Linked DNA regions of Oryctolagus cuniculus. The protein of the gene in region 2 interacts with the protein of the main gene of each other region in a pairwise test. Links are inferred from orthologs where the notes say so. Each region holds a gene or a part of one and is shown on either strand. Other genes may lie near its edges. The genes, in order: PSMF1, PAK5 and PDLIM7.

Region 1 (6,013 bases), about 7.7 Mb from region 2:
TTTTCAGGGTGGTGACAATGTTCAGGAATTGCATATGGTGATGGATGCACAACACTGTGAAGATAGTAAATAAAGCTCACTGAATCGCATATTTGAAAAAGGTGAACTTTTGGTCTGTGAACTGTATCTCAATAAAGCTATCACTAAGAAAGAACAGGTTATGAAGTGTGGATGTTTATTGTTAAGGCTACAATTTGGGGGTTCTACAAAACACACACCTGCAACGTCCCCACCTGCTGCTCGGGGAGGACTCACAGCTGGAGGGAAGCAGCCCACGTCAAATCCAGCACCAACAGCTTGACCAGGAAGTTCCTAAACACCCCATTCCCTGCCCACACGCAACATCTAAGACATGGCCTGTGCTCCTCCTTGATACAGGGAGACCCACGTAACAAACAACTGATTCTGAAGAGGAATCACTATATTTTCTGCTTCAGAAAACAGAAGTATGTGTATGATTGTATTTTCAAACTTTGCTCTAGAAAACGTAAGTGGAAAATTTATTATTAATCTTATTTTTTCCTTGAATCAGACACACTGATCTACCCTCCCTGCCTGATGTCTCCAGTCTGATGTTCCTTTTACAGATGCTTCCTGTTATAATAAAGGATGCTTTCATGAGCAAATCGCTCCCGATCCCTTTGGTTACAGGTATGATCTGATTCCCAAACCAGAACTCATATTTCACTAACCCACCAGCCCTCAAGGAAGGAGGTTATGAGCAAGGATGGCATCTGTGCCTCTGCCTGATATCTGGGTCTTTCCCTAAGTGCACAAATGTTCTAAGGGGTTCAAAGCTGTCAGCTACCTCTGGCGTCTTGGTGTTTGACATGGAAAGGGCCTGCTCCTGCAAGCCTCCCACCCTGGGCCTGAGGGTCAGTTTAGCTTACTGCTACCCATCCTCAGGCTGAGCAGAGGAGCAGCATAGAAACAGCCTAGCAGTGCTTCAGCAAAGCTACAGGAGCCTACTGCCCACAAGCAAGCAATACGTCCTAACTGCCGGGAGGGATCAGAAAAGCTGAGAAGTAAAAGGACCCCCACACATCTGAAACGCCAGTGGGGAAGCCAAAGTGACTAGTGCCTGGACCTGTGCCTCTGAACCGCAGCTGTAGGGTGCTCTTTCCACTGTAGCACAGGGGCTCATCACTGCCCACGTGGCAGGCCTCAGCCTGAAAAGGATCTGGAGAACACCAAATGTCAGGTGGGCATGGACACAGGACAGTGGCTTCCAGAGCTGGGGCTCCCTGTTCCTCCCGAATTTCACCACCACACTCAGACAGAGCCCATGCTGCCGTGATCTTGACTGGGCGAGGGACGAGAGAGAGGGAGACTCAGTAAGCAGTACCAGAGAGCCTTGACTTTCAGTCTGCTCCTTCGGCCCAGTTCCTAGGGGCCCCAGCCAGAGAAAGCAGCACTGATGTTTCAGGGCAGGGAAGGATCTCTCATTTCATAGGTGGGCGAGAGGCCTAAAAGGTGGGACTTGCTTAGGGTCACTCAGTGAGTTAGGGCAAAAATGAGATTAGCCTCTAGGTCTGTTCTGTTTATTCCTCTGCTTATCAGGCTACTGCTGCCCAGGGGCAGATGGAGCTGAGGGCCGGCCCAGAACAGGAATACGGGAGGACTGTGCCCTTGTCAGAGTGATGCAGTCTTTCCACAGTGTGCCTGCCCTGTCCTAGGAGACCAGTGCATTTCTAGTCACTCATTTTCTATCCAAGGAGTCGGACCCATCTTAGCGATCTCAGGAGCAACAGCAGTTTATGAGCGCAAGTGCCTGAGAAGCAAGAGCAGGCCCTGGGCGGGAAGAGAGTTGCTGGGCCCTACAAAGACTAAAACTCTAAAGCCTTGTCACCAGAAGGAGCTGTGTGCATCAAAGCAAAAAGAAAAGTGAGAGACCGGCAACGTGAATTTTGTATTGACATTTGGTTCTTCATAATAACATCCAAAATGCGTTCTGTTCTTATAGCGCTGTGACTGGGACTCCGTCGGGTGGAGGGTTTATGTTGCCGGAGGCTCCCTTGGAAAGTAGGGAGGAGCTGATGGTGTGAGATCTTTGGGACCTAAGGCAGCCGGGTGGAGAGCTGCAGCAAGTGCCTCAGCTCTGATAAGGGGAGGGGAGGCAACCCCAGCCGGCCAGCAAACACATGGGCAGAGTCCCTGGGCCCCAGCCCGCAAGAACACGGTTGCTGACGGGGCCAGTGGTGGCAGCTCCAGGAGAGTGGAGAGAAGGCTGGGATGTTACATTCTTGAGGCCTTCACAGGTACATGTCATCGTAGCCCGGCGGGGGGAGATGGTCTGGGTTAGGTCTGGAATGGAAAGAGGGGCTGGTGAGTCGGAGTGCGGGAGGGGCCGGAGCACACAGGCGGATGGAGCCTGCCCCCAGGGTGCTGTGGTGGAGCGCGGCAGTTCAGACCACGACTCAAGAGCCTGGGTTTGATTTCTGAGTCCCTCACCCGGGGTCAGTGACCTCAGCTTTCAGAGCCTCAATGTCTGCATCCATAAACATGAGGATAGTACCACCTACCCAAGACTGCTGACAGAGGATACAATGAGTCTGACACATGCTTAACTTCTAGTTAGGGGTAGCTCTTCCTCCTTCTGAGTCCTCCCTGGAGGGGAGCTAGGGGAAGGGAGGCACTCAGAGATGGCGAGCTCCTGGAAGGCTCTATGGAGGCAGCAGACAGCACCACGGTAGAGGCTCTACCGTCTCGGCATCAGTGGGTGGAGGCAATGGCAACTCTGCTCCTGGTTTCAGAGACTTTAGCTGCCACTACACGGAACTGAACTGCCATCAGGTCCCGCTTCTCAGCATACCTGGGTGAATACCTACCCTGATGGGCTGGTCCCAATGGGTCCAAAGGGGTCAAAGCGAGCTCCTGGGGGTACAGCGCCTGGCGGAAGCCGGTTCGGGAGGCCTGAGGATGGGTCAATAAGTGCTCTTGGGAAGCCAGATCTCAGGGGATCCACAATCATGCCACCTCTCCGACACCTGAGGCAAGAAGGCAAACTGGGTAAGCAGCCATGGCAAGGACTGCCCTTCAAGCAAAGGTGAAGAAAGGGGGCGTGGATGAAGACTGACCGTGTCCACTCTGAGGGTCTGACAGTCATGTGAATGGTGCCTGAAAGCCAGCAGGAAGCTGGCAAAAGCAAGAATGCTAAGGGACTGTACTTTTGGTTCTGTAGGCCTCCCTGAGCCTACTGAGAACCCTTGTTATGTCCTATACCCAAGCGGGGTGATCTGATCAAGAACAGGAGCTGGAACTGGCTAAGGTCAATACAGAGCTGTCACAAGGCTCTACAGGGCATATGTTAGGTTGAAGGACTAATAACTAAAAACAACCCATGAAGCCAGTTTCTTTGGCTCTGTTTCCCTTTTGGGCCTCAGAGCCATCTGAGCCTGCCTGTAGGTTGCCCAATTCTGGCTCCTGACAGCATCTGTCCCCCAAGGAGTTCCATGAACCTGACCTCACATGCTCCAACTAGGAGAGTGAGCTGCTATTCCCCCGAGGTCACTGTTCAGGCTGCACTGGAGAGTTAAGTGACTTCCCCTCTATCTAAAGAGGAGATGTCTAAGTTGGGGTCACCTTGCAGCAGAGGCTAAATCCAGTCTGAATTCTGCAGAGCAGACAGTGCATAGCCGAGGCAGCAGTAACTTTATGGGGTGTATGGCAAGGATCACAGACAGTCTAACGAGGCTCAAAGACTCCCTTTATCTAGCGGGGCAACCTCACAACAACCCTGAGCAACGTTCAACTCAGCGGCCCACTGTGTGCTCCTCCATCAGTGCCTGGGCAATCCTGAGGCGGCCCCCGTGCTGCACTCGGGCGCTGCTATGGGCACGACGCACAGTCAACACCAGGGCTTGCTCAGCCGCTTGGCAACAGCTTCCTCCTCCACCCCAAAGGAAAGCCTCAAATTAGAAGATGAGCTGGGGCTGAGAAGCCACGGGAGCCGGTTAGGTTGCTGCCACCTCCCCAGCAGTACTCACCCAAAGGGGTCTAGGTCTTCTCCCCCGACGGCAAACGGGCCCAGGGGATCACACCTGAAACAAACAAGGAACAATTACCACACGTCACAGAGCAGCCAGGCGCCAGGCAGCCAGGGGCTCGAACCCAATGCCTGCAGGGTCAGAAAGGCACTTCCAGGCAAGGGGGACGGGTCCCTGCAAGAGACCGTAACACAAGGAAGGGATCCTTCCAAGGGGTCCTTGGCACAGATGAATACCAGTATTATAGCAGCAATTACGTGAAAAGGGCTCATCACAAAGCTAACCACATGGAGAATCTGCCTGTTTAAAGCTAAAAATATTAACAATGGTAACCTCCACATAAATTCTATTTTATTCGACCCTTTCTCTGTATAATGAACAAAGAACTTTTCATCAGAAAGTTATTCTAAAACCCAAACCCCAAAGCTCAGGTTTAAATGCTTCCCAGGAGTAACAAAGGCACGGAGTCTCAGCAGCCGGAGCTGTGCCTCTTATGTTTGTTCACCGTGGGTCTTGCATGAGCTCTTCCACTACTACACTGCACTGTTTAGGCACTGGAGCCCTCTGGAGCGTCATGGGCCACAGCCACTGTCAGTTCTCAACAGTCTCCTCTCCAGTCCCCCCACAAAGCCTGTTTTTGCCTTCACTGACACTGTGAGCTGTGAAAAGGAGTGGCTACTTTCTGGAGGACAACTCAACATCCTCTCTCTAATGCATACACAAAATAGAACCTGGCTTTTGGAAGTCTTGTGTAGCTTTATATTGAGCCAATAGTTAAATGCCTAAGTATCCATCTTAAATTAAGAATACAGAATTCAAATGAAAATATATCTAACAAAGACTTTAAGCAAGGAAATTGGCATCAGCTTAAATGGGGACCAGTCTGGTATCACGTGGTATACTCCTAAATGCAGCCATGGAAACAACAGAAACAATGTCCTCAGAATGTTTTCAAAATGCTTTTTCTCAAGTGTGAAGTGCGGGTGTGGGGAGGATTATCAACAGCAATGGGAAATCAACTGTGAAAAGTACGTGTGTGGGGGCGTGTATGTGTAAACAGAGCTACAAAGAGGCATTCTCAGAGTGTAAACAGTGACAGCACTCCTGGATGGGGAGTTTCTTCTCCACACCCTCCTGTGATTTTCTATACAGGATCTGTATACAGTAAGGCAGAGAATTAGTATTGAAGAAAATGTGCTTTGGAATCTGCTTGGAGCTCTGCAAGCAGTACAAAGCCAACAGTTCTGGGGTTCCCGCAGCTCCTGCCAGAACACAGGGTCGCTTGATACACAGCAGCTACCCTACACTTACAGGAAAGAAGCCATTAATTAGAGAACTGGGAAGAAATCCAAACAGGCGCTTCTCCATCGGTTTCACCTAATGGGCTGAAAAGGATATTGCAACTGAAGCAGATCAGGCCAGGTTTCCAAAGGAAGGAATTATTCGTGACCTAGGTTATTGTTCCCAGGCCACGGCTCACGGAGCTAGTAGTCAATGTTATTGGTGGCCTCCGACATCCTGCCTCACTGGAGACAGACCAGGCGGTGCCAGAGGGCACCCTGCCCACTACAGAATGGAAACAGGGGGGCTTTTGGTGGCTGTTAAAACGCCTCCAAGTAAAGGGCCTTGACTGCTCCTAATTTCTGGACCACAGCGTGTGGGAAGGGAGAAGAAAGACAACAGTGAAGGCTAGAAAGGCAGCCACAAGTTCCACTCTGCTAATCTGCGCCCTTGAAATTTCACAGCACATTCAGCAGTCACTACAACCCACGCACATTTTGGTGAACTCACAATGCACAAGCTTAGAATCTGACAAAAACAACACAGGGGGTCCGTCACCTCCCTCAGAGCCCCCTTGGCCGACCCTCAGTTTGGATGTGTGGAGATGAACTTATGGGCATTCAAATGCAAGTCATTTTTGTACAAGGATACTTTGAAACATTGTGGGGGGAGGGAATGCAATAAAAAATGTTATGATGCAAAAAATCTTTGAAATCACACATACTTTTTTCATAACTGCATTTTTC
Region 2 (6,790 bases):
CATACTTCCAAAATGAACCATAGTCCTCACATTGAATCAGTAGTAACAACTGCACAAATGTCACCTTTATCACTATTGAAGTGATTAAAGTTCAGTATTTCAAATCAGAATTTTAATTGATACCAACCAATCATAAATAGACCACAGTGCAGTACTTTCTGTTTTTTTTTTTTTTTGCATCAGTGTGAGCACACATACAAAGAAGTAAAAGTAGAAGCTATTTATGCAAAAAATTATAGGTGTATCAATGAGGATGGTGGGGGGGGCAGTGTTTTCAGGACTATATATGCAGCTTTGAAAGAGTAGAGATGAGTTTAAAGAATCCTACCCTTTAAATGGAAAATCAGAATATGACAGACCTGGACATATTTCTTCTTTACATATACAAATGTTAGAGAAGAAAAGTAATCATTCATTCATCCTGTGGTTCCGGTTTCCAGATGGCAGCTACTATATTGAGGGTACTGAGAAAACAGAGAACAAGCAAAGGGGAAATGATAAATATGCTGCTAACTAGACATCTGTCTAAAGTGATTGAGTATAATGGGATCCTAAGAGATATAGATCCTTATTTTGTAAACTGCTCTCCAGTTATGGGATCAGATACCATACGTACCTGCTCATAAGTTGGAGTGGCGGAGGACAGGCAAGGGTGTGAGTTCTTAATTTCCAAGGCTAAAGGCTCACAACTAGTTTGTAACTTTCTCTCACGTTAGAAGGAGCAGCAAGCATTGTTGATAATTCCAGGTGTTTCCAAGTATTTGGGAGGGAAGTGGGCAACTGGGGGATTTAAGATGAACCACAGGTCAGCCCCAACATCACTTAGCAAAAAGGCCTGTCATCTCTTAGACCAAAACACCCTTCAATCGCCATCATCTGTTGGGCTTCCTATTGGTCAAGCCCAGCTTGGCATTACACCTTATGAGAAATTGACATCCCCACACTCCAGGAAAAGCAGGGGACAGCCAAGCCAGACTGGCTCAGATTTGAGTGGAGCAGTTACACTTGCAACCAGTTTGCTAGCCCATTAGTAAAGTGAGGGTGAAGAGATGCCAGAACCACCTCTCTGGTAGGCGCAAGATTCTAAATCAGAAAGTAGCCAATTTGGGTTGGGCGGCCAACGCCTGGCCCTGCATAGAATCCTTTCAGGATAGCTGTGGCACCCTCAAGGACACACTTTCCCTTGGGTCTCCAAGCCATCTGAAGGCAGAAAGGGTTTCTGTGGACACCAGAGGCCATGGAATATTATGGGAAACATTTCTCTGTAGAGAAAAATATTATTACCTCAGATCTTTGTCTCACATGGAAGAAAAATTTCCAAGTGGACAAGCAGAGATTTAAAAAAAAAAAGATTTTATTTATTTATTTGAGAGGTAGAGTCACAGACAGAGAGAGGGAGAGACAGAGAGAAAGGTCTTCCTTCCGTTGGTTCACTCCCCAGATGGCCGCAGCAGCCAGAGCTGTGCCAATCCAAAGCCAGGAGCCAGGTGCTTCTTCCTGGTCTCCCATGCAGGTGCAGGGGCCCAAGGACTTGGGCCATCCTCCACTGCTTTCCCAGGCCATAGCAGAGAGCTGGATGGAAAGAGAGGCAGCTGGGACTCGAATAGGCGCCCACATGGGACGCTGGCACCATAGGTGGAGGATCAACCTAATGTTCCACGGAGCCTGCCCCAAGCAGAGAGATTTAAAAGCAAGATGTATTAGAGTTAAAAGACATCCAGCCAGAGTGGCATGGAGGGGGATCCAAGAAAGGAAAAAACTCGAAGTGGTCCGTGGCAGTTGAGTTTTTAAGCACATTTTTTTGGGGGGAGGAGAGGGAAACTTGGCAATCAGATTGACATTCAGTTACAAGGTGGAGACAAAACCTTTTTTGCAGTCCTTTACCTTGTCTGGCTTGCTCCTGATAAAACAAAAGAGCCATCACAAGGGTGGGATACCTAATTTATTTTACAGTAAACTGGGAGCTCAGAAGGGTGGAGTCCCCACTCCCTTGCTAGTCTCAAGATAATACTGGAAGCTCCCAAGGAGTGGGCAGGCTTGAACTTCTGACCTTGCTAAGGATAACTTTCCTGGGGAACGTTTTCCAGCCTCAGTTTCCAGGCTGCCTATAGAACCATCTGACTCCTCACAGCTAGACCCACGGAGGCACTGGCCAGTCACAGGTTGGGTGCTCTGGATCCTGGTTACTGCAGAGCGCTGGGAGGATCAGCGGACCCACCCCACCTGCGAAGTCGTTGGGCTTGCAGAGTCTCGGGCCCCAGCCAATTGAATGCGAATCTGCATTGTAAGTCACAGGCACACGGAAGTTGGAGAAGCCCTGGTCCAGGTGGTGGCAAAGAGGCCTGCATACTGATGAGCCTCTCAGCACCCCCCCCCCCCCCATTTCCACAGGCCTCCAAAGCTCCGCTCCGCCCTGCAACGGACCTGCCCAACATTTCTGCAAACCCCGAGTGTGTGCGGAGGGGCGTGCAGGAGTTCCCCTAGCCGAGGAAAGCCGACGGAAAGTAGGATGGGATCGGCTGCTTTCTACAGCTCTCCAGTGTAGACACTCCCCCCTCCCCCCATCTATGCCCTCCCCCCCCCTCCACCCTCCCCACCCCCAGCAGCGGCCGCGGCCTGCCCCCAGCCGGCTGCCGCGAAAACCCGGAACAGCTGCTTGCGCTCGTGGACAGTCCTCTCAGGGCGAAGCCCGACAGCTGGGCATGCTCAGTAGCTGGCGGAGGTTTGGGTGGAGAGTAGAAAGCTTTGGCTCTGCCTCCCACCCCCTCCCTCCGGCCCCCGCCCCCCTTGCCCCTACCCAGCCCGTAGTAGTTCCCCAGCGTGCGCCCGGAGAGACCGGGAACATGGCGCTCGGAGCGATGGAGCAGCTGAGGAGACGCGGCTGAGGCACCGCCGCTTCGCTGACAGACAAGCGCCAGGTAGGCGAGCGCGTCTGGCGGGGCTGCTCGGGTGGAGAACGGCGCGAGGAGGGGCGCCGGCGGGGATGCGCACGGCTGGTACCCAGGGCATCCTGCCTTGTCGGGGAAAGGATGCGAAGCGGACTCTGACAGCGCGATTGTGCATCTCCCAGAAGATGCCAAAGGCTGGGGACCGGCTGCCTGGATGGAGGGGAGGGATCCGGGGACCGCCCACTCCCCAACCCCCAGCCCATGCGCTACTACCCAGCCTGGGCTCTCCACGGGTCAAATAAAGGGTAGTTCCTCTCTGCCGGGCGGGAGGGCGTGCGGGAGAAGCCGGGAGACCAACCCTGGGAGCGCGCTGGTACCCCAAACCGCTAGCCAGCCCCGCACCGGTTCTTTGTGTAGACAGCGGCTGGGTTTGCCAGGGCGCCTGCTTCTCCCAGAGAGCGCTGGTCAGAGCGCCAGGGCAGGGTTCCCATATGGTGTTTGTCTTTTGGGCAGGTGTGGACTGGAAGATGCAATAGCTGAGCCTGTGTGGGGCTGTGTTTCTCTTTGTTATTTGCCTCGGTGTGCCTGCGCGCGTGGTGGGTTGTAATGGAGACAGACAACTTCTTCTGTGGGCACCAGTGCGGGCAGAGTGAGGAAGAGGATCTCGGTTCCAAACTCTTGTGAAAATTGTATGCCGTGTCAGCTTCCTGGAGGGTGAACTTGAAAAGTCTGGGGACCCTCTGTGCCCAGTTTGGAGGAGAAGTGTTCGCTCTTCCTCAAACCATGTGTGTGTGCTCCGGAGCTTTTAGCACGAGATGTGAGTTAATTCGTCAGCATCAGATGCTAATTATTTGAAGCATCAGCGCCAAGGCCAGAGTCATGAAGAAAAAGAGAAATTGACACAAAGCCAGTAAAGTGTCATCCTTAATAGCTGATGACAGCTTGGAAAGCGGGATATACTTTTGGGGCAATCAGGGAACGTGACATTCCACAGGGTTCTACCAAAACCCAGCCAGAGTCTTAGGTACCTCACAGGATCTCTCCGCCCGTGCTTTGCTCTTCCCGGGTTGAGTGGCGTGCACTCTGTCTTACCTGAGTCCCGATGGACCCGATGCTCTCCAGGAGCTCCGTCTACAGTAGGAATCTTTCACAGTGGCACTGGCAGAACAGCTTTGTACATCAGTTCTGTTCAGCAGCACAACTCACTGCGTTGGGGTGCAAAGGTAAATTTAAGTCATGCTTTATTTTTTGCTTTATAATATAAAGAGTAGACATCTGTGAATATGAAGTTTGGAGACACTTCCCTCCACCCTTTCTTTTTTTTTTTTTATGATCTTGTTAGGTGGGAAGAGTTAGTTTAATCAGAATGAAATGGGGGCTGCTTGAGGAAAAGGCATTTCAATTAAAGCCATTAACGTCCAATCTGATGGGTACTACTTGGAGTTGGGATAAATATATGCAAACCAGAAATGCTGCTAATGCAAGCAAGGGAATGTGCTTCGAGGCCATTGCTAGCATTGGCCAGTGTTCCTCTGTGATTGAGTAGATTGTACTCAGTCTCTGCAACTTGTTATTTTGTGAGTTTTAAATGCAGGTACTCCCTCTCCTTCACTTTATCAGAGCTTGCTGAAACACTGCCAGCTGAGAAGCAGGGGTTCCAGGTTATGGTATCGTGTTCTTTTTAAAAGATACTTATTTGAGAGGTGGAATTACAGACAGAGAGAAAGGTCTTCCATCCGCTGGTTCACTCCCCAGATGGCTGCAGTGGCCAGAGCTGAGCTGATCCAAAGCCAGGAGCTTCTTCCAGGTCTCCCATGCAGGTGCAGGAGCTCAAGCACTTGGGCCATCTTCCATTGCTTTCCCAGGCAATAAGCAGAGAGCTGCATTAGAAGAGGAGCAGCCAGGACACCCATATGGGATGCTGGCACCGGAGGCAGAGGCTTATTCTACTAGGCCACAATAGATATAGTCTTGGTTGATAACACAGAGCTGACTTTGCCCCGGCCTCTTTCAAGTTTAGATTTGTGGTCATGGGAAAGCTGTTTAACTTTCCCAAGCCTCAATTTTCTCATCTGTGAAACAGGCTTAGGAATAGTAGGACGTACTAAATGAGTAGGTATGAAGATTACTTATAAACCACCATAAAAATAGTGATGACCATTAAGAGAAAAGACATGTATGTTTATTGAACCCCCATTCTGTGCCCTGTATGAAACAAGGTTGTTTCAAATAGGTGATTTCATTTAAATCTTTGCAACCATTTTACTTCCTAGGGCTTCCATAGCAAACAACCGCACACTTGGCAGCTAAGAACCACAGAAACTGACCCTGTCCCAGTTCTGGAGGCTGGAAGTCCAAAAGCAGAGTCCACAGGACCTCGCTCCCTCCAAGGTCCTAACAGGGGATCTTCCTTTGCCACTTTCAGGTTCTGGCAGCCCCAGGTGTTCTTGGATATAACTTCAGTCTCTGCCGCTGTCTTCATGGGGCACATTCTTTCTGCGTGTCCTTGGATAAAAAACAATTCATCTTCATGTAAGGACATCATTCATATGAATTTAGGATGCACTCTAAATTAATATGACCTCCTTGTGATTACTTCTATGAGTAACTGATTCCCAAACAAGGTCTCATTCACAGCTTCTGGGTACACATGAATGTTTGGGAGACGCTTCTAAGGCCATTACAGCAACATAGACTGAAGAATTGTGTGTAATCACAACACAAGATGATGTCAACATAAGAGCAGAATATAAAGATAGAATAAAATGAGTTTAGAAAAAACTGAAGGACTGTTAAAACAATCTATCTAAGGTTTTATATCCCCAACTATGTTAGAGAAAACAGTATTCAAAAGTACGTCATTTATACAATGGTACTTCAGAAAACGTTTGTCAAAAAATGGCATTAAAAGACTACTTTTGCTGAAAAATTTTGAAATTTGTGCATAGAAATGTGTCCAAAATGTTCAGAGTATTCTGAATCTGCTCCGATTCTAGTTTCCTGCTAATGTGGACCCTGGGTGGCAGAAAATGATGGTTCAAATACTTGCATCCCTGCCATCCATGTGGGTGATTTGGATGGAGTTATCAGCTCCCAATTTTGATCTGGCCCAGCCCTATCCATGGCAGGCATTTGGGGAGGGGATCAGTGGGTCAGAGCTCTCCCTCTTTTCTCTTTTTACTTCTCTCTCTGTCAAATAAAAATATGCTCATGGGAAATGCATATTATGGGAATTATACTTGGGTTTCAAAAAACTTTTGCTCTGAAATAAACAGCCTTTAATGATACTTTTCCATTAACTTTTTGAAGTGCCCTCATGCATATCACTTATCTGGAAACCAAGACAATGTAGTACCAGGTCTTCTAGAGGCTTCTCAAAATGTAATCTTTCCAAACTGACTTCTGGAAGTTGCTGCTGCCTTGTTTTGCTACACTATTAACACTTGGAAAAGCAAACCAAAACAATAACAGCAACAAATATATCCTTACACTTTCTAGTCTTTGCTGATATCTTTTCATGTTAACATAATATTAATACAAAGAACAGATTCAATGTAATTCATAGACACAATTCTGAGAACATAAGGATATTCCCTTCCTCCCTCCCACCTTTCCTTTCTTCCTTCCTTCCTTAGTTCTTGAGATAACATATTTTTAATTAACATTATCCTGATGAATAACACACTGCCCATGAAATCACCCTAGCCAGAAATCCAAGAACTATCTTTGACACTCCATTTCTTCTCCACATCCCAAACTCACATGGTCATATAAACTCTGTCTCCTACTGATAGCTCTAAGTGTGTCTTGCTAGATTCTTCTTCCCATCCTTCTTATCACCATCAAACTTCAAGTCATCATCTGCCACGAGGACCACTAGTGTCCCTTTCTAAGGAGATCCC
Region 3 (6,535 bases), on a different chromosome or scaffold from region 2:
GAGCTTCTCCAGCCTCCTGCTCACATGGCCTGCCCCTTGGGTCCAGAACCTGCTAGGACATCGGCAAACCACCTCAGGCCGAAACCAAGGCCTCTCGGCTACAGCCGCCCGCCCTCGTGCCACCGTGTCCCTGCCCCCTGACACCTCCCAACTCCCAGTCCTGGGGCCACCTGCGGGGACTGGGGCCCCGAGGGCCGGAGTGCCTGACCTGGGTTTCTTGGGCCATCAGTGGGCATTACCCCTAGGCCTCCACTGCCACTACAGCCCAGCCCTGTGGGCTCTGAGTTGGGAACTCCTGGTTCCTGTGGCAAACCAGGGGATGCCAGCAGGCTGGGAGGCCCGATCCCACCAGCACGAGCTGAAGCCTCCATGGAAATGGCCGGCCCCCCTGATGAAAGTCTCAGCTGTGGGGGAAGCACCTGGCCCCCACCTCAAGGGCAGGGGGGCACTAACAGTTTTAAGGAACTAGGGTGAGTATTTCCAATGCCACTGATAGACCTGACTCTGACAGACCCCACGGGGCCCTCCAAGCCCTGTAGCTCTACCCCACAACACAGCAAGGGTGGCTCTGGCTGCCCATGGGTCTGAGCCCACAGGGGGCCCTGAAAGCTCCTAGCTCCTGGGGTGGGGCTGTTCTAGAGAGAGGACAGAGACTGGGACGAGGAGGGGAGCTGGGCTTGCCGCTCAATTCCATGCTTGCGTGCGGTTAGAAGTGTGACAGCCCCGGGCAGTCCCTTCTTCACTGGCCAAGGACCAACCAGCAAGGATAGCAGCCTGCATTTAATGAGCACCTGGCATTGCCATAGATACTGAACTCTCCCACAAGCTTGGGGAGGAGTCTTCGATTATACAGTTTACACACGGGAAAACAGAGAGGTTAAGCAATTTGCCTCAAGTCACCCAGCTGATAAGAGGCAGAGACAGGAAGTGACCCTATCCCTAAGATTCTACCACTCTAGGCTATCTCTGCTGAATGGGGCGTACTGAGGGGTCAGTCCACCTGGAAGGACTCCCTCCTGGGCGGCTGGCTTTGGGACCCGGCTCCTGTATGTCCGTCCACCTTTGGTTCAGTCAGGTCTCTTACAGTGGGATGAGGAAGTGATGCCCTCGAGGGGAAGTGACTTACTCCCGGTCACCAGTGAGTCAGTAGAACCTGGCCCGGCCACTCCCTCCCCACACTGGGAGGTGCGGGTGAGCGTGTGGCGGGGGCCTTGGAGTAAGCCAGGATCAGCTGGCCCAGAGCAGGAATGAGGGTCAGGGACCACTTCCTTCCTGGGACTGGGAAGACAGGAAGTTTGAGGGGGTGGCGGGTGGTGAGTGGGAGTGGGGGGAGTGGAAGCAGAAGAGATGGGGAAGGCAGCTGGCAAAAAAAAAAAAAAAAAAAAGCAGGGAGCAGCTCAGGCCAGGGGCAGGGCAAGGCCAGAGAGACAAGGAGGAGAAAAGCCAGGGGGCTGGACACAGGAGAGGGGGGCGTGAGTCAGCCCAAGGGCTCCACTGGGCAGCCCAACCCCTCCCCCCACCAGTCTCAGACGTTACCTCATCTCCCAGGCCTGGGCCCACAGCCAGCCCTCGCCCCTCCCGCCTCCCTTCATTCTGGGGTCAGGAGAAGAGGAGGGGGCTGGCCCAACGCTGAAAAAGACCACTTCCATCCACCCACCACCAGGGCCTGGGTCCAACTCCAAGGCTGGGCTTAGCTGCTGGTCCCACCCCTGGGCTGGGGCGGCAGACAGGGGAGCCTGGGCCCACAGTGCCCCCCGCAGGCCACATCTGAAAGATCACTCTCATCAGCAAAGAGGTGAGGCGGAGACCAGTCCGACCAAGTCTCCCAGCCACATGGGGTGGCATTTTCCCAGGGAGGGGGATGCAGGGTAGGTTTCAGGGTGGAGTGTGTGTGTGTGTGTGTGTGTGTGTGTGTGTGTTAGGGACCTGCCTGCCCCAAAACTCTGCAGAAAGATACCGGGGGGCAGAACACTGCCTGCCCCGGCCACCAGGCCAAACCGCCACGAACAGACTCTGCCCTGGGCCTCTCTCAGACTGCCTGGTGCCTGGACAACACTCAGGCCCCTCAGGCTGGGCTTGCCCTGGGCTTCCTGCCAACAGCTGTCTGCCCACCAGGCGGCTGGGTGGGCCTCCCTGCACTGGCGGATGTAGGGGCAGGAAGTCCCCGCCCCCTCCTGACCCCCAGGCCAGAGAGAGAGAGAGAGAGAGGGACTGGCCCAAGTGCTGGCCTCACTGCTCTGGGCGGGTGGTTTCTTTTCTGGGTCCCAGGAGTCACAGCCTGGCCACCAGGGGAGGGGGCTCGGAGGTCCAGGCACAGGCCAGCCCTTTTCAGCTAGGTAGACTCCAGCCACTGTTGGCCATCCCAGCCTGGGGCTGCATTCTTGGGCTTATAAGGCAATCCCCCTGCCATGGGGAGGAGCCAGCCACCAGCTCCGCCCCACCAGGGCAGGCTCTCAGGAATTTGGGTCCCAGCCCTACAGCCTAGCCTCACCACACCTTCGCTCAGGGTCAAAGGCCACTACATCCTAAACCAGGACCAGTTGGATGGAGACACAGGTCCTCTCATTGACTTGGGGACCTGTAAAACCCGCAGGCTGTCCTTGCCCAGTTTCAAATCTCTGCTTTGCCGTGGACAAGCCCTCCACCATTCCAAGTTCCCTCCTTTGGACAAACAGGATGGCAGCTGCTATCCCCTAGGTGGCAGTGAGGCGGTGGTAAGATTCCACAGGGTGCTCTGCCTGGGGCCAGGCTCCCGAGCACTGTTCTCAAGTTTAGATCCTTGCTGAATTCATCAAGCTCCCTCCCACACCAATGGGCCTTCTCCCTTCTGCTCGGCCCCCAGAGGTGACCGCAGAGGCTCGGTGAAGTGGCATCAGGTACAGTGCACAGATATGGGAGTCTGGGGGCTCCACTCCCCTGTCTACCTAGGCAGGGGTCCTGGGAGTAGGCAGCCACCACTTTTCTGGACCTGGACAGACACCTCCTGGCCTGCTGACACCTGGGCCTCCTGCTTAGATTCCCCCTGGAGACCTGAGCAATCAAAGACAACCTTCCCACCCCACCGCCGCTATTCGGAGCCCCTCTCCCAACCAGGCTTACCCGGGAGATGGAGAGGGGCACATTGAAGTCCTTGCCCCCTTGCAGCCGGAAGCCCCACGGTGCTGGACCCTCTAGCAGTACTTTGAAGGAGTCCATGGTGTCGGCTCCTGAGAGGAGAAATGGGAAAGTGAGCGTCCCAGCTGCGGACGCTAGCCTTGAACAGGTGCCAAGCAGGCAAGACAGACACTGAGCGCACCCCAGGCCCGGGTGGGCACGTATCTGGCCAGGCTAGGCTGTGAGGCTGGCTGGCAGACCTCACTTCCAAAAAAAAAAAAAAAAACAGACAAGGGCAGCCCCCCGCCCAGGGCCTGGGAGGGTGAACCTTTCCCAGGCTTAAAGTTCTCGGTATCCACGGGTGGGACTAATTTGGCACGGCTTCCCCCCAAGCCAGCCTGGAGCCTCGGGCAGCGGGGTGAGTCAGGGGCCGGCTCTCGGCTCCCCCGCCCCCAGGTCCCGGCAGGCAGGCCGCGGCTGCAGCCTGCTCGGACTATATAAGGCGTGTAAGCTGATACTGCGCGGAGAGCAGTGGAGGGAGCCACGGGGGCTCCGCGCGAGGGGGAGGGGTACGGGCGCGAGGCGCCTGGAGCGCGTCCTGGCCATTCCAGGGCAGGTCGAGGCTTTTGGGAGCCGGGGCGGGACCCCTTGGGCGCTCTGAGCGGTTGGGGGCAGGAGTGGGACGAGTCTCCAGCGGAGAGCAGTGGGGACCCCAAAACGTGGCCAGGAAGGGGAGCTACGCTGGTGCCTCCCGCACAGGACTGTGCCCGCCCTGCCGTGACTCAGTTTCCCTCCAGCCCCCAGCCCAGGCACCATGCAGCGGCGCAGGCGCCAACCGGCCCCGCCACAAGCGGGCTTCGCCGCAGGAAGGCGGGGGCGGGGGCGGAGGCAGGGGCCGAACCCGCAGGAGCAGGCCCAGCGCCGGCCAAGACCCCCAGTGCGCTCCGTAGTCTTCAGAAGGCCCCCGGCCCCCGCCTGGTTCGGACCAAGAGCCCCGCGCGTCCGCCGGTACCTGCTCTGCCCCGCCGGGGCGCTGCTCCGCGGCGGGCTCCTAGGAGCCGCGCTGGAATCGGATCGGCAGACCGCGTTCTGGCCCCGCCCCCGCGGACACCGCCCGCTTTGAGCCTGTGGAAGGGGGCGGAGTGGGAGACCACGCCCTCCGCGTGTCCACACCCACAGGCGGTCGCTCTGCCGGGGGAGAGCCCCACCCAAGCTTTCCGCCTTGTCCAATCACGAAGCCCCGTCTGGCTCTGAGCACACGGCGCTGCCCGCCCCTTCTCCTTGAGCGGGGCAGGGCCTGGGCGGGGCCTGGCTGCGGGACGCCGCGTCGGGAGGACTTTGCTCCGCCCACGCCTCGCCCCGCCCCCTGCGCCTCCCGCCAGCAGGGGAGAGAGACCTTCGAAGCCAGGCCCCACTGGACGTTAGCCGTGTCCTCGGGAAAATGGGGCGCTAGTGCTCCCCAATTGGGGTTGCCAGAGGGTCGGTATGGGGGCGTCGGGGTGAGGAAGGATGAGAGGGACGAGGAGTGACCGTGCAGCTGCATTTGCCGTGGACAACCTGAGTGGACGAAGCTGGAGGGCGTCCTCGGCTCGGCCTCGCGCCGGTCTCCGGAGCTCGGAGCCCGGCCCCACGCGCAGCGCATGCACCGTGGTGAGCGCCCGGCGCCCACGCTCCTCCGCTTTACAGACATTCTCTCCTGAACCCACGCCCCTCCGCGGCCCCCAGTCCTAGAGGGGCACGCACTGGTCGCTGCGGCCCCGGTTGTTCCTGGTGACCTGTAGCAGTCTCCTAATGGGCCCCTGCTTTCACCCTGGTCCCCTCCGGGGCCTTCTCCAAGGACCAGCTCAACTGATACTGTTAAAGGGAACTCACACTCAGCTTTTAGCATTCCAGTAGGCTCAAAACTAAGCCTTAAGACTCATGTAACTTGGGGGCCACGCTGTGGCATAGCAGATAAAGCCGATATGGGCGCTGGTTCCAGACCTGGCTGCTCCACTTCCGATCCAGCTCTCTGCTATGGCCTGGGAAAGCAGTAGACAATAGCCCAAGTCCTTGGGCCCCTGCACCCACATGGGAGACCCAGAAGAAGCTCCTGGCTCCTGGCTCCTGGCTTCGGGTCGGCCCAGCTCTGGCCGTTGCAGTCATCTGGGGAGTGGACCAGCAGATGGAAGACCTCTCTCTCTCTCTTTCTCTCTGCCTCTCCTTCTCTCTGTGTGTAACTCTGACTTTCAAATAAATAAAGAAGACTCATATAACCGTAGTAAACAGGGCCCATTGCTCGCTCACTCTGCTCTAGCCAGGTGGCCTCCTCACTGTTCCTCCATGTGCCAAGGATGTTCTGGCCTCAGGGCCTTTACACGGATCATTCTGGCTGCTTTCAGTTTGCTCAAGTCTCCGCTGAGATGCTGCCTGCTCTAAGGGGTCTTCCCTGGTCACCATCTGTAACAGCAATTCACAGTACACACTGGTCCTTTTACCCTGCTTTTAAAGTTTTTATTCCATTTGCTGGTTCACCCCCAAAATGTCCAAAACAGCTAGTGCTGGGTCAGGTTGAAGCCGGAAGCCCGGAATTCCATCCAGGTCTCCCGCATAGGTGACAGGGACCCAAGGACTTTAACCATCAACTGCTGCCTCCCAGAATGTGCATTAACAGGGAGCTGAATCAGAAGAGTAGATGGAGCCAAACCAGGCACCCTGATGAGGGGCGTGGGGTGCCCCAAGAGGGGGGACTTAGCCTCTGTGCCCAACACCCGCCCCTCTTATCCCCTTGCACTTTCCACCCTCTGATGTTAAACATTTGTGTCTTTCAAAAAAAAAACAGATTATTTGAAAGGCAGAGTTACAGAGAGGCAGGGGCAGAGGTCTTCCATCCACTGGTTCACTCCCCAAATGGCCGCAACAGCCAGAGCTGGGCCAGTCCAAAACCAGGAGCCTCTTCGGAGTCTCCCATATGGGTGCAGAGGCCCAAGGACTTGGGCCATCTTCTACCTACTATCCCAGACCATAGCAGAGAGCTGGCTCAGAAGTGGAGCAGCTGGGATTCAAACCGGCACCCATATGGGATGCCGGCACTGCAGGCGGCAGCTTTACCCACTGTGCCATGTTTGTTTCTTAGTTGTTGCCTGTTCCCATCAGAATGTCAGTCCCCGGTGTCGCTCCCCCTCTTCGTGGAGGAACGACACTAAGCCCTGCCTAGGCTTCATATCCGAGTCACGGCACCATTATGTCGCTCCCCCTCTTCGTGGAGGAGCAACACAGGACCCTGCGCTGTTCTTTCGTCTGCTCGGCCCTCCCCGGGTTTGCTGCTGGTTCTTCCCGGGTTGGCTACTATCCCTTCCACCTCCGTGGAAGGGCAGTTCCCCCTGGCCACATTCCCCACTTCCGCAGGGGAGCGGCACACCGCCGGCCGGTTCTCTCGGGGGCTGCACGGGTTCCCTTAGAT

The links.
Region 1: the proteins of PAK5 (region 2) and PSMF1 interact in binary tests that used the Homo sapiens proteins (3 or more experiments, as listed by UniProt). The two-hybrid records come from large-scale screens. The link is inferred for Oryctolagus cuniculus from reciprocal best matches to the Homo sapiens genes PAK5 and PSMF1.
Region 3: the proteins of PAK5 (region 2) and PDLIM7 interact in a two-hybrid assay, tested with the Homo sapiens proteins (2 studies listed by BioGRID and IntAct). The two-hybrid records come from large-scale screens. The link is inferred for Oryctolagus cuniculus from reciprocal best matches to the Homo sapiens genes PAK5 and PDLIM7.

What each region holds. Positions count from the first base shown.
Region 1 is NC_091442.1:27,108,985-27,114,997, reverse strand, and holds the end of PSMF1 (proteasome inhibitor PI31 subunit), read right to left. Parts: intron 4,041-6,013; coding exon 3,987-4,040; intron 2,988-3,986; coding exon 2,829-2,987; intron 2,305-2,828; coding exon 2,253-2,304; 3' UTR 1,891-2,252; downstream 1-1,890. UniProt on the Homo sapiens protein: Plays an important role in control of proteasome function. Inhibits the hydrolysis of protein and peptide substrates by the 20S proteasome. Also inhibits the activation of the proteasome by the proteasome regulatory proteins PA700 and PA28.
Region 2 is NC_091442.1:34,779,060-34,785,849, reverse strand, and holds the start of PAK5 (serine/threonine-protein kinase PAK 5), read left to right. Parts: upstream 1-2,612; 5' UTR 2,613-2,918; exon of another isoform or gene 2,919-3,151; intron 3,152-6,790.
Region 3 is NC_091437.1:63,488,322-63,494,856, forward strand, and holds the start of PDLIM7 (PDZ and LIM domain protein 7), read right to left. Parts: upstream 4,260-6,535; 5' UTR 4,106-4,259; intron 3,564-4,105; exon of another isoform or gene 3,296-3,563; intron 3,207-3,295; 5' UTR 3,196-3,206; coding exon 3,100-3,195; intron 1-3,099. UniProt on the Homo sapiens protein: May function as a scaffold on which the coordinated assembly of proteins can occur. May play a role as an adapter that, via its PDZ domain, localizes LIM-binding proteins to actin filaments of both skeletal muscle and nonmuscle tissues.